Linked DNA regions of Sus scrofa. The protein of the gene in region 1 interacts with the protein of each later gene in a pairwise test. Links are inferred from orthologs where the notes say so. Each region holds a gene or a part of one and is shown in the gene's direction. Other genes may lie near its edges. The genes, in order: ZBTB43, SYT6 and PSMD3.

Region 1 (3,649 bases):
CTCACTCAGTGGGTTAAGGATCCGGCGTTGCCATGAGCTGTGGTATAGGTCACAGATTCGGCTGGGATCTGGCTTTGATGTGGCTCTAGCGTAGGCCAGCAGCTACAGCTCCGAATGGACCCCCAGCCTGGAAACCTCCATATGCTGTGGGTGCAGCCCTAAAAAGTGAGGAAAAGGGGGGGAAGAAAAAAAAGGCTTAGTCATATAAAATTGTAAAACCATACTTGAAATACTGAGGAAACATTGAGATAGTTTTTCAATAAATAGTGTAGGAAAAATAGGTTCACCATTTTGGAGGAGAAAGAAAAAATTAGATCCCAACCTTCTCCTTATGCCAAAATAAACTTTGTGTATTAAGATTTAAATGCCTTTTTTAAAAATGGTGCCAGAAGGAGTTCCCTGGTGGCCTAGTAGTTAAAGGATCTCATATTGTCATTGCTGTGGCATGGTTTCGATCCCTGACCCAGGAACTTCCTCATGTTGTGAGTGTGGTTAAAAAAAAAACCATGCCAGAAATAAAACCTAAATATTTCTTTTTACTTTTTAAAAATAATCTTGGAGTCAGGAATGCCTTTGTGTATCTAACACAAAACCCTGGTGCCATAAAAGGAAAAATTGGACAATTTACATAAATTTTGAAGTTAACCTCCTGAATTTACAAAAATCAATAAGATGAATTGGTCAGTTTATTTGAGCAAAGGGTATGATTCATATATATAGGAAAAACAAATGACCAGTAAACATGAGTGAAATACCACTCTCATTCATAACTAGAGAAATGTTGATCAAAACAATGAATCATGGGTTATTCCCTTAGGAGATTTGCACACTTTTTTTCTTGTTTGATAAAATCCAGCATTGGTAAGGGTGCAGGGAAATAGACACTGTCATTTAGTGGGGCAGGAGTGTAACTAGAAGCAACCTTTCTGGAAACTGGCTTTATTCAGTTTATATATATTGAGATTATATATTACATATCTTAAGCACATAATACTTTGACCTAGCAATTCCAGTGGTAGACATTGCTCTCTAGATATTTCCAGAGATATGCCAAGATAGTTATGCACAGATGTCCGATGTGGTGTTGCTCATAATTTCAAAGACCCAGACAATTGAAATTCTGTATTTTTTGTTTGTTTGTTTGTTTGTTTGTTTTTGTCTTTTGAGGGCCACTCTTGTGACATATGGAGGTTCCCAGGCTAGGGGTCAAATTGGAGCTGTAGCTGCTGGCTTACACCACAGGCACAGCGACTTGAGATCCGAGCCATGTCTGTGACCTACACCACAGCTCACGGCAACACTGGATCCTTAACCCACTGAGTGAGACCAGCAGTCAAACCCAAGGATCCTAGTCAGGTTTGTTAACTGCTGAGCCACAACAGGAACTCCCAAAGGGACAAGGGATTTCTGTGTTGTCTCTTTCCTTTATAAGGTCACTAATGCCATTCAAGTGGGCTCTGCCCTCATTGTCTAATCGTCCCCCAAAGCAAATACCCACCACATTGAGGTAGAGTTTCAACATGTGAATTTAAGGACACAGTCAAATCAGTCTATAGCATGTCGGATGATCTGCAAGACAAATTGAATGACAGAAGCTAAGTGTAGAATAGAATGTAGGTGATGAGCTAATTTGCATAGGAATTTTTATTTCTTTATATCTTTGGGGGACCGCACCTGCAGTATAGGGAAATTTGCCGGGCCAGAGATTGAACCTGAGTTGCAGTTGTGGGTAGAAATTTTTAAAGGATGTATATTATTTATTCTGATAATGCATACAGAAGTTTCTAGAAATATACACAGGAGTTTGTTAATGGTGATTTCTTCTGGGGGAAGAAACTGGGGCTAAATGGAGAGGTTTTTCTAACAACTTTTTGTAAATTTTTTATGTGTATCATCCCTTCCCACCCCCCACCCCCCTGTTTTTCAGATAGCTACAAACAAAATTCTTCAGTGACCAGAGCAGAGACTCCAGATGTAGCTCTCAAAATTTACATAACCTCTAGGCTATACATTTATATAGTTAAATTTTCCTTTGAAAATACAGACACCTAAGTAGTTTATTTCCTGGCTTGTTTTTAAATTTTTTCTTTAAAATTATTAAATTTGGGAGTTCCCATTGGGGCTCCATGGTTAACGAACCCAACTAGTTTCCAGGAGGACATGGATTCGATTCCTGGCCTTACTCAGTGGGTTAGGGATTCGGCATTGCTGTGAGTTGCAGAGTAGGTTGCAGACGTGGCTCAGATTTCTCATTGCTGTGGCTGTGGCGTAGGTTGGCAGCTACAGCTCCAACTCGACCCCTAGCCTGGGAATCTCCGAATGCTGCAGATGCAGCCCGAAAAAAAAAAGACAAAAATATTATTAAATTGGTATTATTATTATTTTTTTTTTTTTCTTTGCTGACCACCCCATGGCATATGGAGTTCCCAGGCCAGGGATCAGATCTGAACTACACTTGTGACCTATGCCACAGCTGTGGCAACACTGGATCCTTAACCCACTGTGCCAGGCAAGGGTTCAGCCTGCGTCCCAGGGCTCCAGAGATGCTGCAATCCCATTGTGACACAGTTCACAAGGATCTCCTATGAAATGTTTTAAGAGCTATAAACCATAAATTAATACTTCATTCTAAAAACACTCTCTTGGAGTTCCCATCATGGCTCAGTGGTTAACAAACCCAGCTAGTATCCATGCGTACTCAGGTTCGATCCCTGGCCTTGCTCAGTGGATCAGGATCCAGCATTGCTGTGAGCTGTGGTGTAGGCTGGCAGCTACAGCTCTGATTTGACCCCTAACCTGGGAACCTTCATATGCCATGGGTGCGACAACCCTAAAAAGACTAAGCTAAAATAAAATAAATAAAAATGTTGTCTTCTTAAAATTATTTTGTTTTACTTGGGATTTATATAGCTTCAAATATTTCTGGATTCCATTTTCCCACTCAGACACAGGCAAAATCAAGAATTAATACCATAAAGAATGGTGGGTGGTGCTTGCTTTTGGCACCGTTACACCTGCAAGCCTTGCTCTGGAGGATGACAGCTCCACCCACATTGCCCACAAGTAGGGGGAACTTTGTGGAACTGTGGACCTTGTCTTAATTTTCTTAGTGATCAGTACGTTTCTCTAGGGGCTAGAATTAGTACTGATTTTTCTCTTTCTTGTAGCACCGAACGAGATTTGTGATGAAATGGAGCCTGGAACAAACTCTTTTCGAGTAGAATTTCCTGATTTTTCCAGCACCATTCTGCAGAAACTAAACCAGCAGCGCCAGCAGGGACAATTATGTGATGTCTCCATTGTTGTCCAAGGCCACATTTTCCGGGCACACAAAGCTGTTCTTGCTGCCAGTTCACCCTACTTCTGTGACCAGGTACTCCTGAAAAACAGCAGGAGGATTGTTTTGCCTGATGTGATGAACCCCAGAGTGTTTGAGAACATTCTCCTATCAAGTTACACGGGACGTCTAGTAATGCCTGCTCCAGAAATTGTCAGTTACTTAACAGCAGCAAGCTTCCTCCAGATGTGGCATGTGGTAGACAAATGCACTGAGGTTTTAGAGGGAAACCCCACAGTCCTTTGTCAGAAGCTAAATCATGGCAGTGACCACCAGTCTCCAAGCAGCAGTAGTTATAATGGCCTGGTAGAG
Region 2 (3,649 bases), on another chromosome or scaffold:
GTAGATTGAAAGAATGAATGAACCAATGGGAGTCCTCATGTGAAATCAGAGCAAGCTACCCCAAACCCTGTCTTCCTCCTCTCCCACTCCAGGTCTGCGGGCTTTAAGGGAGGAAACATCTCCATGGCTTGGAGCCCCATGTCAGCCTCAGAGCCTGAGGCAGGGGGTTGGCAGGGACAGCACCCTCCTCTATCAGGTGGGGAGCAGGACGCCGAGGCATTCCAGCAGGGTGCTGTTTAATTCAACAGCCAGACGTGCTTCCCATCTCTGAAGTTTCCTAGTTCCTGCTGCTCAGAAGCTTGCTGGTACTGGGATCCCCGGTCATGGTGCTTCTGGGGGCAGGAGAGGCAGCAGAGTGTGTGCTCCGAGCTGGGTTCATTTTTGAAGGATGACCACATTTAAGGACAAAGTGGATCCAAGGCCTGGCCCAAACATGGAATGGCGAGTGGACGTCTCCTTGGTCAGCAGCAGGTCCTGGGCCAGTCCCAAGTACCAAGTGAGTTTCGGGAGAGGCAAGAAAACTGCCAAGGCAGAGGGACTCACAAAGAATGACTGAGCTGAGGGCTAGCAGCAGATCTGCAGGGAGAGGGGATCCTGATGGCTGGAGTGCATCTTGTAAGGGACACTGACCAAGCCAGGCAGTGCAGGGACTCAAAGGGACCAGTGACCGAGAAGGGTGAGCTGGAGAATGTGGTGAGCCCCAGAAGGCCTGGTGATCTGGAGGCTGCAGCCACGGGGCAGAGGTAGGGCAGGTGAGGCCAAAGCAAGAGGGGGAGGACCTGGACCCGAGTCTGATCAGAGCTGAGAAGGCATATTGAAGGGGCCGAATTCTACTGAAGAACCAATATTGCTATCATTGCCTTACAGACCCTGGGACTCCCAGCATGGAGGCCAGACCCTCGGGTCTTAAAGACACGGTGCTCTGCCTCGGAGAGCCTTCCCCTGGGCCCCCACGGGTGCTGCGTGCCCCTCACCTGCTCTCTTGTCTGCTTCTTTGCAGGAAAGTGTGGATCTGGGGGAGATCATGTTCTCCCTCTGCTACCTGCCCACAGCAGGCAGGCTCACCCTCACGGTGATCAAGTGTCGGAACCTCAAGGCGATGGACATCACGGGCTACTCAGGTACCTTTCCTCCCCGAGGGCCTGCCCCGTGGCCTCTCGGCAACCCAGATGTTTAGATTTGGAGAGATGCTGAGAGAGAAGGGGGAAGAATCGTCAGTACTCTTAGATAGGAGCACAGCCCTGGAGGCAAACGGCCTGGCTGTGAAGGCCAGTTCTGCCACTTTGCTGTGGGATGCTTTGGTTTCCTGACCAAAAAAAAAGAAAAAAAAAAATGAAAAAGAACCACGAAAAAGAAAAAAAAAAAAAAAAAGAAAAAAATTTATGCAGGTTGCTTTAAGGATAAACATGTAAATGCTTAGAAATGTGTCAGACACATAATGAGCACTCAGTAGGTATCAGCTATTACTATCATTCTTTCTCTTTGATGATGGAGAGAAGAAGTAAATAAATAGAAAAAAATAAGGAAAAATCTTTCTAGTTTGTGTGAGGTCTCGGGACTGCCAAGGGTTATGTCAAGTTTGAGTGTCCAAGTGTCTGTAGGTCCACGCAGCCCTGCGGCAGCCCTGCAGACTGAGTCAAAGGAACAGAGCCAATGACAAGCAAAGCGCATTTGTATTTGAGGTTTTCCTGCAGGGCCCTGGGCCTCCGTGTCAGCACCAGGAGAGCTGCTGGGTACAGCAGGAGTAAGCAAGTCCTGTTCTAGCAACCGAGGAGGTGCTTGTTTAAATGCAGCTCGGAGCCTGCAGGCTGGATGTGGTGTCACAGGCTTAATCCTTTTGCACGATGCTGCAGGTCGTTGTCAGAGAAGGTTTCTGAGTTCTGATGTAACAGAGGAGTCCCTGGCGCCTCCATCCCTGTGTCAGCTCACATTAGCCCAGGAAGTGAAATGGGCTGGAGTGCCTCAAAGAGCAGGCACGTACGCCGGGCTGCACTCAGAGCAGCAAATGCAGGGAAAGGCTGGGTTTATTTTCTTTGACCCCTACCCAAGGGGCTCTTTTGAAGATTCCAATCACCAATGTAAATCCACTCCAGAGGTGCCTCTGAACTTGGCGGAGAGTATATGGAAGATTTTTCCTTTGAATCATTCATTATTTCCTGGAAAACTCCTTAGTATAATCAGAGTGGCCAGGAAGCGGGGACGGTCCAGCTGGAAAACATCTGGGCCCAGGCCCAACCTGGCGCAGCTGGAAGGAGATGAGACATGAGGCCTTGAAAAATGAGGTTTCGGGGAAGGGTAGTCAAGAAACGCTGAAGGAAGGTGTGTTTGCTGCGGCTCTGAGTCCCTCAGAGCCTCTGCTCCCAGCCCCCACCGCGTCTCTGCAACACTCAGGTCTTTCAGGCCAAAAGCTGCCCCAGACAGTGCCTGCCCTGGCACGTCTCCTTCCACTGAAGCTGCCACCACACACCAGGTCGTGGCGAGGAGCTCAAACCACCTCTCCTGACACTGTGCAAACCTCTGAGGCAGCAGGAAGCAGGGCCTCCTCTAAATATACAGCCAATGTAGATTTCATTTTAATATCAAAATAAGTATGTGCAGGGATGGAAATTCACTGAGGACTCTCAAGACTGCTGAAGGAAATAGGATTTTGCTGCCCCAGTCCCCACACTATCTTCTCTGGTGTAATTAAATTGATGGGCTAGAGAGAAAGCTTACGGCAAAGCCACCAAGGTAATCTTAAAGGCTGTTCCACGTCAGAGGGTTGGGGGGCAAGAGATTTTTCTCCTGCGAAGTTCTAACCTCCCTCTCAAGATCGCCCCTCTTTTCTACCTGACTTTGGAATCTGGTATTCAATCTCGGCTGCATTCTGAAAATCCCGGGGTCCTGTTTTTGTCAGGGCTGTCTATCTATTTTGTTCACTGATAGAAGCAAACGTATGAAACAGTGCATGGAACATAATAAGCACTGGATAAATATGTACTGAATGATGAATAAATGATGAATGAATGAACGAACAAACTTACAGCGTAAGGAACCTTGTCAGAGGGTGATGCTGTGGGGACGCACATGCCAGGGGCCTCTCACACCAGATCTCCTGTTTCAGAGGATAAGGCTGAGGTTGCCTTCAGCTCAGACCGCTTTGATGTTAGACTAAACGAAGGAGCGCATGGAGCTCATTAATTGCCTGTTCTTGATGTATATGACACTGACCTCTAAAACCCAGCATCTTCCTATTCTCCTTGATCCAGTCCAGTCATGAATCAATTCTCTAAGCCTATCCACTAAAACTATGGCAATAAAAATAATACAAAATAATAATAAGGATGAGTACGCCCCAAAGGGGTGGTAAGTCGGTAAGCCTGCCCATCTCTGCCACCCCTGGTCTATACTGCTCTCTGTCCAGGGATTACAAATGTAAACTTTGGAGTCAGGCCTAACTTCAAATCTTAGGCAGGTTTCTTAATCTCTCAAACTTCCATTCCCCTATCTATAAAAGAGAGATGATGATAAATATAGAGTTGATGTGATGTTTAAATGACATGGTATGTGTGGAGTTTCTGCTGTCACACGAGGAGACTGGCAGCGTCTCTGTATCGCAAGCACACAGAGTCGACCCCCAGCCCAGCACAGTGGGTTAAAGGAGCCAGCG
Region 3 (4,310 bases), on another chromosome or scaffold:
TTTCCCCTGGGGGATTCTTTTTTATATATATTTATATATATATATATATATATATATATATATATTTTTTTTTTTTTTTTTTTTTTTGTCTTTTTGCTATTTCTTGGGCCGCTCCCGCGGCATATGGAGGTTCCCAGGCTAGGGGTCGAATCGGAGCCGTAGCCATTAGCCTACGCCAGAGCCACAGCAACGCGGGATCCGAGCCGCGTCTGCGACCTACACCACAGCTCACGGCAATGCTGGATCGTTAACCCACTGAGCAAGGGCAAGGACGGAACCCGCAACCTCATGGTTCCTAGTCGGATTCGTTAACCACTGCGCCACGACGAGAACTCCTCCCCTGGGGGATTCTTAAGCCCACCTTAGGTAGACTATTATTCTGTTCCCCATTTCACTACAGTGAAGAGTCTCCATCATCATCTTCCACCCTCTTGTGTCCAGCATCACAATACATGGCAGCCCAGAGCAGAGCTTCCAGCAGACCACGCTCTGGAGCTGTTTTTCTGGGTTGTTTTTTTTCTGGCGCGCGGGGGGGTGGGGAGTGTTGGTTTGCGGGGTTTTTTTTTGTTTTTTGTTTTTGTTTGCTTTTTAGGGCTGCACCTGCAGCATATGGAAGTTCCCAGGCTAGGGTTGGAATTCGAGCTGCAGCAGCCAGCCTACACCACAGCCACAGCAACATGCCAGACCCGAGCTACGTCTGCGACCTACACCGCAGTTTATGGCAACGCCAGATTCCTAAGCCGCTGAGCGAGGCCAGGGATTGAACCTGCATCTTCATGTATATTAGTCGGGTTTGTTACTGCTGAGCCACAAAGAGAACTTCTGGAGCTGTTTTTTTTTTGTTTGTTTGTTTGTTTGTTTTTTCCACCACCCTGCCCCCTGAAATGTGCTAGCCCTGAGCCTCACATAGAGTGGACCCCTAAATTTTACTAAATTATAAGTGATTATACGCAAATGCACTCTCCCCGCATCCGCACTCCCAGGCTGCAGAGATTTTATGCCTTATTTTCAGCACTAGCTAAAATCGGACAAGAAAGTCTGAATCCCATGGGGTTCTTCCTCGTCTCCAATTCGGTGTAGTTTTCAGCCCAACAGCCTAGCTCAACATCCCTTCGCAGCTTCTTTTCTTCTCTCGCGCCAGTTGCATCAAGCGGCGGTTGAGAACTGCAAATTGAGCGAGTTTAGGCATGAAACTCGCCTGGCAACTCGTGGCGTCATCACGCTCTGCGCTTGGATAGACCCTACCCATTTCATCGAAGTTGGGTGCTTAGAGTCCGCAGTGACCCAGTGGGGGCCTGAGGGGACCTCATGCGGACATACATAGAAATACACCGGAAAGGAACACAAAGGAAAAAAACACACAGAAACAGTTCAAAACAAGCCGGACAAACCCCTACAGGCTCCTCCCCGCTCCTCCTCGAAGATCCGCCTCCATCCGCACATCGGCTGTTGATTTTTCTCCCCTTTGTGGACTCGGCAATTGGCCCACTCGGCCTGGCATTTCCCACAAGGCCCAGCGCCGGGAAGGGGTTTGCAGCTGCTCCGTCATCGTGCGGCCCGACGCGAGCCCGCGCTCGTGTGCAGGCCCGGCTCGGTTCCTGGTCTCCGGTGCGAGGATTCACCCGAGGCCCCGGCCTCGGTCCCCGGACTAGGCCGCGACCCCGGGCGCCATGAAGCAGGAGGGCTCGGCGCGGCGCCGTGGCACGGACAAGGCAAAGCCACCGCCCGGCGGAGCGGAGCAGGAACCACCGCCGCCCCCAGCCCCTCAAGATGTGGAGATGAAAGAAGAGGCAGCGGCCGGTGGCGCATCAACCGGGGAGACCGATGGCAAGGCGGCAGCGGCGGCGGCTGAGCACTCCCAGCGAGAGCTGGACACCGTCACCTTGGAGGGTACGAGAGCGCGGGCCGTGGGCATGCCATGACCACGGGTGACAGCGCCGCGGTGATCCAGCGCAGCCTCTACCACCCCTAGTTCGTTGAGATCACCCCCAGGTGCCCGCCCCTACTTCCCTCACACTCCGACCCCAGCCTCACTAGCCGAGCCTTCTCTCCGGGCTCAGGCCCTTCGCACACACCTCTCCGCAACCTGGGGTTGCGTCCAGAACTAGATGTCATTGGGCCCGTAGACTCCCTTTTCTGAATTCTCTCCTCTGACGTTATTACTCCTTTTACACTGATTCTGGCGTCCCCAGTGTATGATTGACCTCTCTAAAAACCAGTGTAGTCATGTGCGAAGGAGGTCAGGATGACGCAGAATACTGGCCCCGAGTTTTAAGAATGGTTTGTTGTCTTAACTACCTTTAGCAAACTGCCCTAAAAGAGCTCTTTTTACATAGCATCTTGCTTCCTAGTTGCTGTAATTGAGATGCCCGCGCGATCCCCTTTGCCCTGTTTCTCCTCCTCTAAGCCCAAACTCCTACTGTTTCTAAAGTTTAAATATATTACACACCTTGTTTGAGTTCCTCGTACTTGCCTTCCACCTAAACAACCCCCAGCCCATTTCTTTTCTCCTCGGCACCTGTTGCCAGTTTCCTATCATTCTCTCGTTCCTCCAAGTTCATATTTCGCTTTTCTTACTCAGAGCTCCCTGTCCACATTCGGAGTGGGTAGAGTGAGAGCTTCTCATTGTGATCTTGATGTTGTTTTTCTGTTCTGGATCAAATAGGACCAGACTATTTATTGATTTTCTCTGTACTTAACTGCATAAGAACCTCGCTCAAAAACATTGAAGTAGGAGTTCCCGTTGTGGCTCAGAGGAAACAAATCGGACTAGGAACCATGAGGTTGCGGGTTCGACCCCTGGCCTCACTCAGTGGGTTAAGGATCCAGTGTTGCCGTGAGCTGGGGTGTAGGTCGCAGACACAGAGTGGATCTGGCATGCTGTGGCTGTTGTATAGGCTGGCACCTACAGCTCCAATTCAACCCCTAGCCTGGGAACCTCCATATGCCATGGGTGAGGCCCTGAAAAACCAAACAAAACAAAAAACACATGGAAATAAGCAAATTGATGCACCTGAGTGGTGTTTTGAGAGTGTGATAGTGTTGACTGCATGAGCTCCTACTCTAAAGTTGGACAGCAGGAGTTCCCGTCGTGGCGCAGTGGTTAACGAATCCGACTAGGAACCATGAGGTTGCGGGTTCGGTCCCTGCCCTTGCTCAGTGGGTTAAGGATCCGGCGTTGCCGTGAGCTGTGGTGTAGGTCGCAGACGCGGCTCGGATCCCGCGTTGCTGTGGCTCTGGCATAGGCTGGTGGCTACAGCTCTGATTCGACCCCTAGCCTGGCAACCTCCATATGCCACGGGAGCGACCCAAGAAATAGCAAAAAAAGACCAAAAAATAAAATAAAATAAAATAAAGTTGGACAGCAGACTTATTATCTAAATAAGATCCTTTTTTGCGGTTTATGAGAGTCGACTATATGCGAAAGTTTCCAAGCCAGTGATCGAACCCACACCACAGCAATGACAATGCCAGGTCCTTAACCTACTGAGCCACCAGGGAACTCTCATGTTTCTTTTAAACACCTCATTTAATATGAAAGCTCTGAAGTAGAAGGGGGTAAAAACAGCCATGGTTAACATTTTTCCCATGAATTTTTGAGCTGTTCTCCCATAATGGAGATCAAGGCTATATAACCAGTTAGGAACAGGGCATAACTAAATACAGATGGGTTTGTGTGCTTTCATGTAACACATCCGTAAACATAGCACTCAGTGTATTCCAGAAACATTTATTGAATACCTGACATAGTGGCAAAGAATATGAGCTCTGAAATTAGTTTTCTTATCTCTACAAATGAAAGTACTAGTGTTTACTTAATTGAGTTATTGTGACGATTCAAATGCTTAGAACTAGGAGTTCCCACTGTGACACAGTGGGTTAAGAACCTGATTGCGACAACTTGGGTTGCTGCAGAGGCACTGGTTCGTTCCCCAGCACAACTCATTGGGTTAGAGGAGCTGGCTTTGGCCCAGCTGCAGAATAGATCACAGCTGCAGCTCGGATTCAGCCCCTCGCCCAGGAACAGCCATTAAAAAAAGAAAAAAGCTTAGAATGGTGCCTAACATAATAAAGGGGAGTTCCCTGGTAGTCTAATAGTTAGGATTCGGCACTTTCATCACTGCACCCCAGGTTCTGTCCTTGGTCTGGGAACTAAGATCCCACGTCAAGCCACCACATGATGTGGCCAAAAAAACCCAAAAACCTAGTAAAACCCTTCATAAATATTAGCTGTTATCATTAGTATATATCATTAATGTGACCCAGGCACCATATGCTGAATTTACAAAGGTAACTAAGAAGCTACCAAT

Evidence for each region.
Region 2: the proteins of ZBTB43 (region 1) and SYT6 interact in binary tests that used the Homo sapiens proteins (3 or more experiments, as listed by UniProt). The two-hybrid records come from large-scale screens. The link is inferred for Sus scrofa from reciprocal best matches to the Homo sapiens genes ZBTB43 and SYT6.
Region 3: the proteins of ZBTB43 (region 1) and PSMD3 interact in binary tests that used the Homo sapiens proteins (3 or more experiments, as listed by UniProt). The two-hybrid records come from large-scale screens. The link is inferred for Sus scrofa from reciprocal best matches to the Homo sapiens genes ZBTB43 and PSMD3.

Annotation. Positions count from the first base shown.
Region 1 is NC_010443.5:267,405,052-267,408,700, forward strand, and holds part of ZBTB43 (zinc finger and BTB domain-containing protein 43), read left to right. Parts: intron 1-3,167; 5' UTR 3,168-3,190; coding exon 3,191-3,649. UniProt on the Homo sapiens protein: May be involved in transcriptional regulation.
Region 2 is NC_010446.5:106,471,185-106,474,833, forward strand, and holds part of SYT6 (synaptotagmin-6), read left to right. Parts: intron 1-1,000; coding exon 1,001-1,121; intron 1,122-3,649.
Region 3 is NC_010454.4:22,357,731-22,362,040, reverse strand, and holds the start of PSMD3 (26S proteasome non-ATPase regulatory subunit 3), read left to right. Parts: upstream 1-1,490; 5' UTR 1,491-1,670; coding exon 1,671-1,890; intron 1,891-4,310.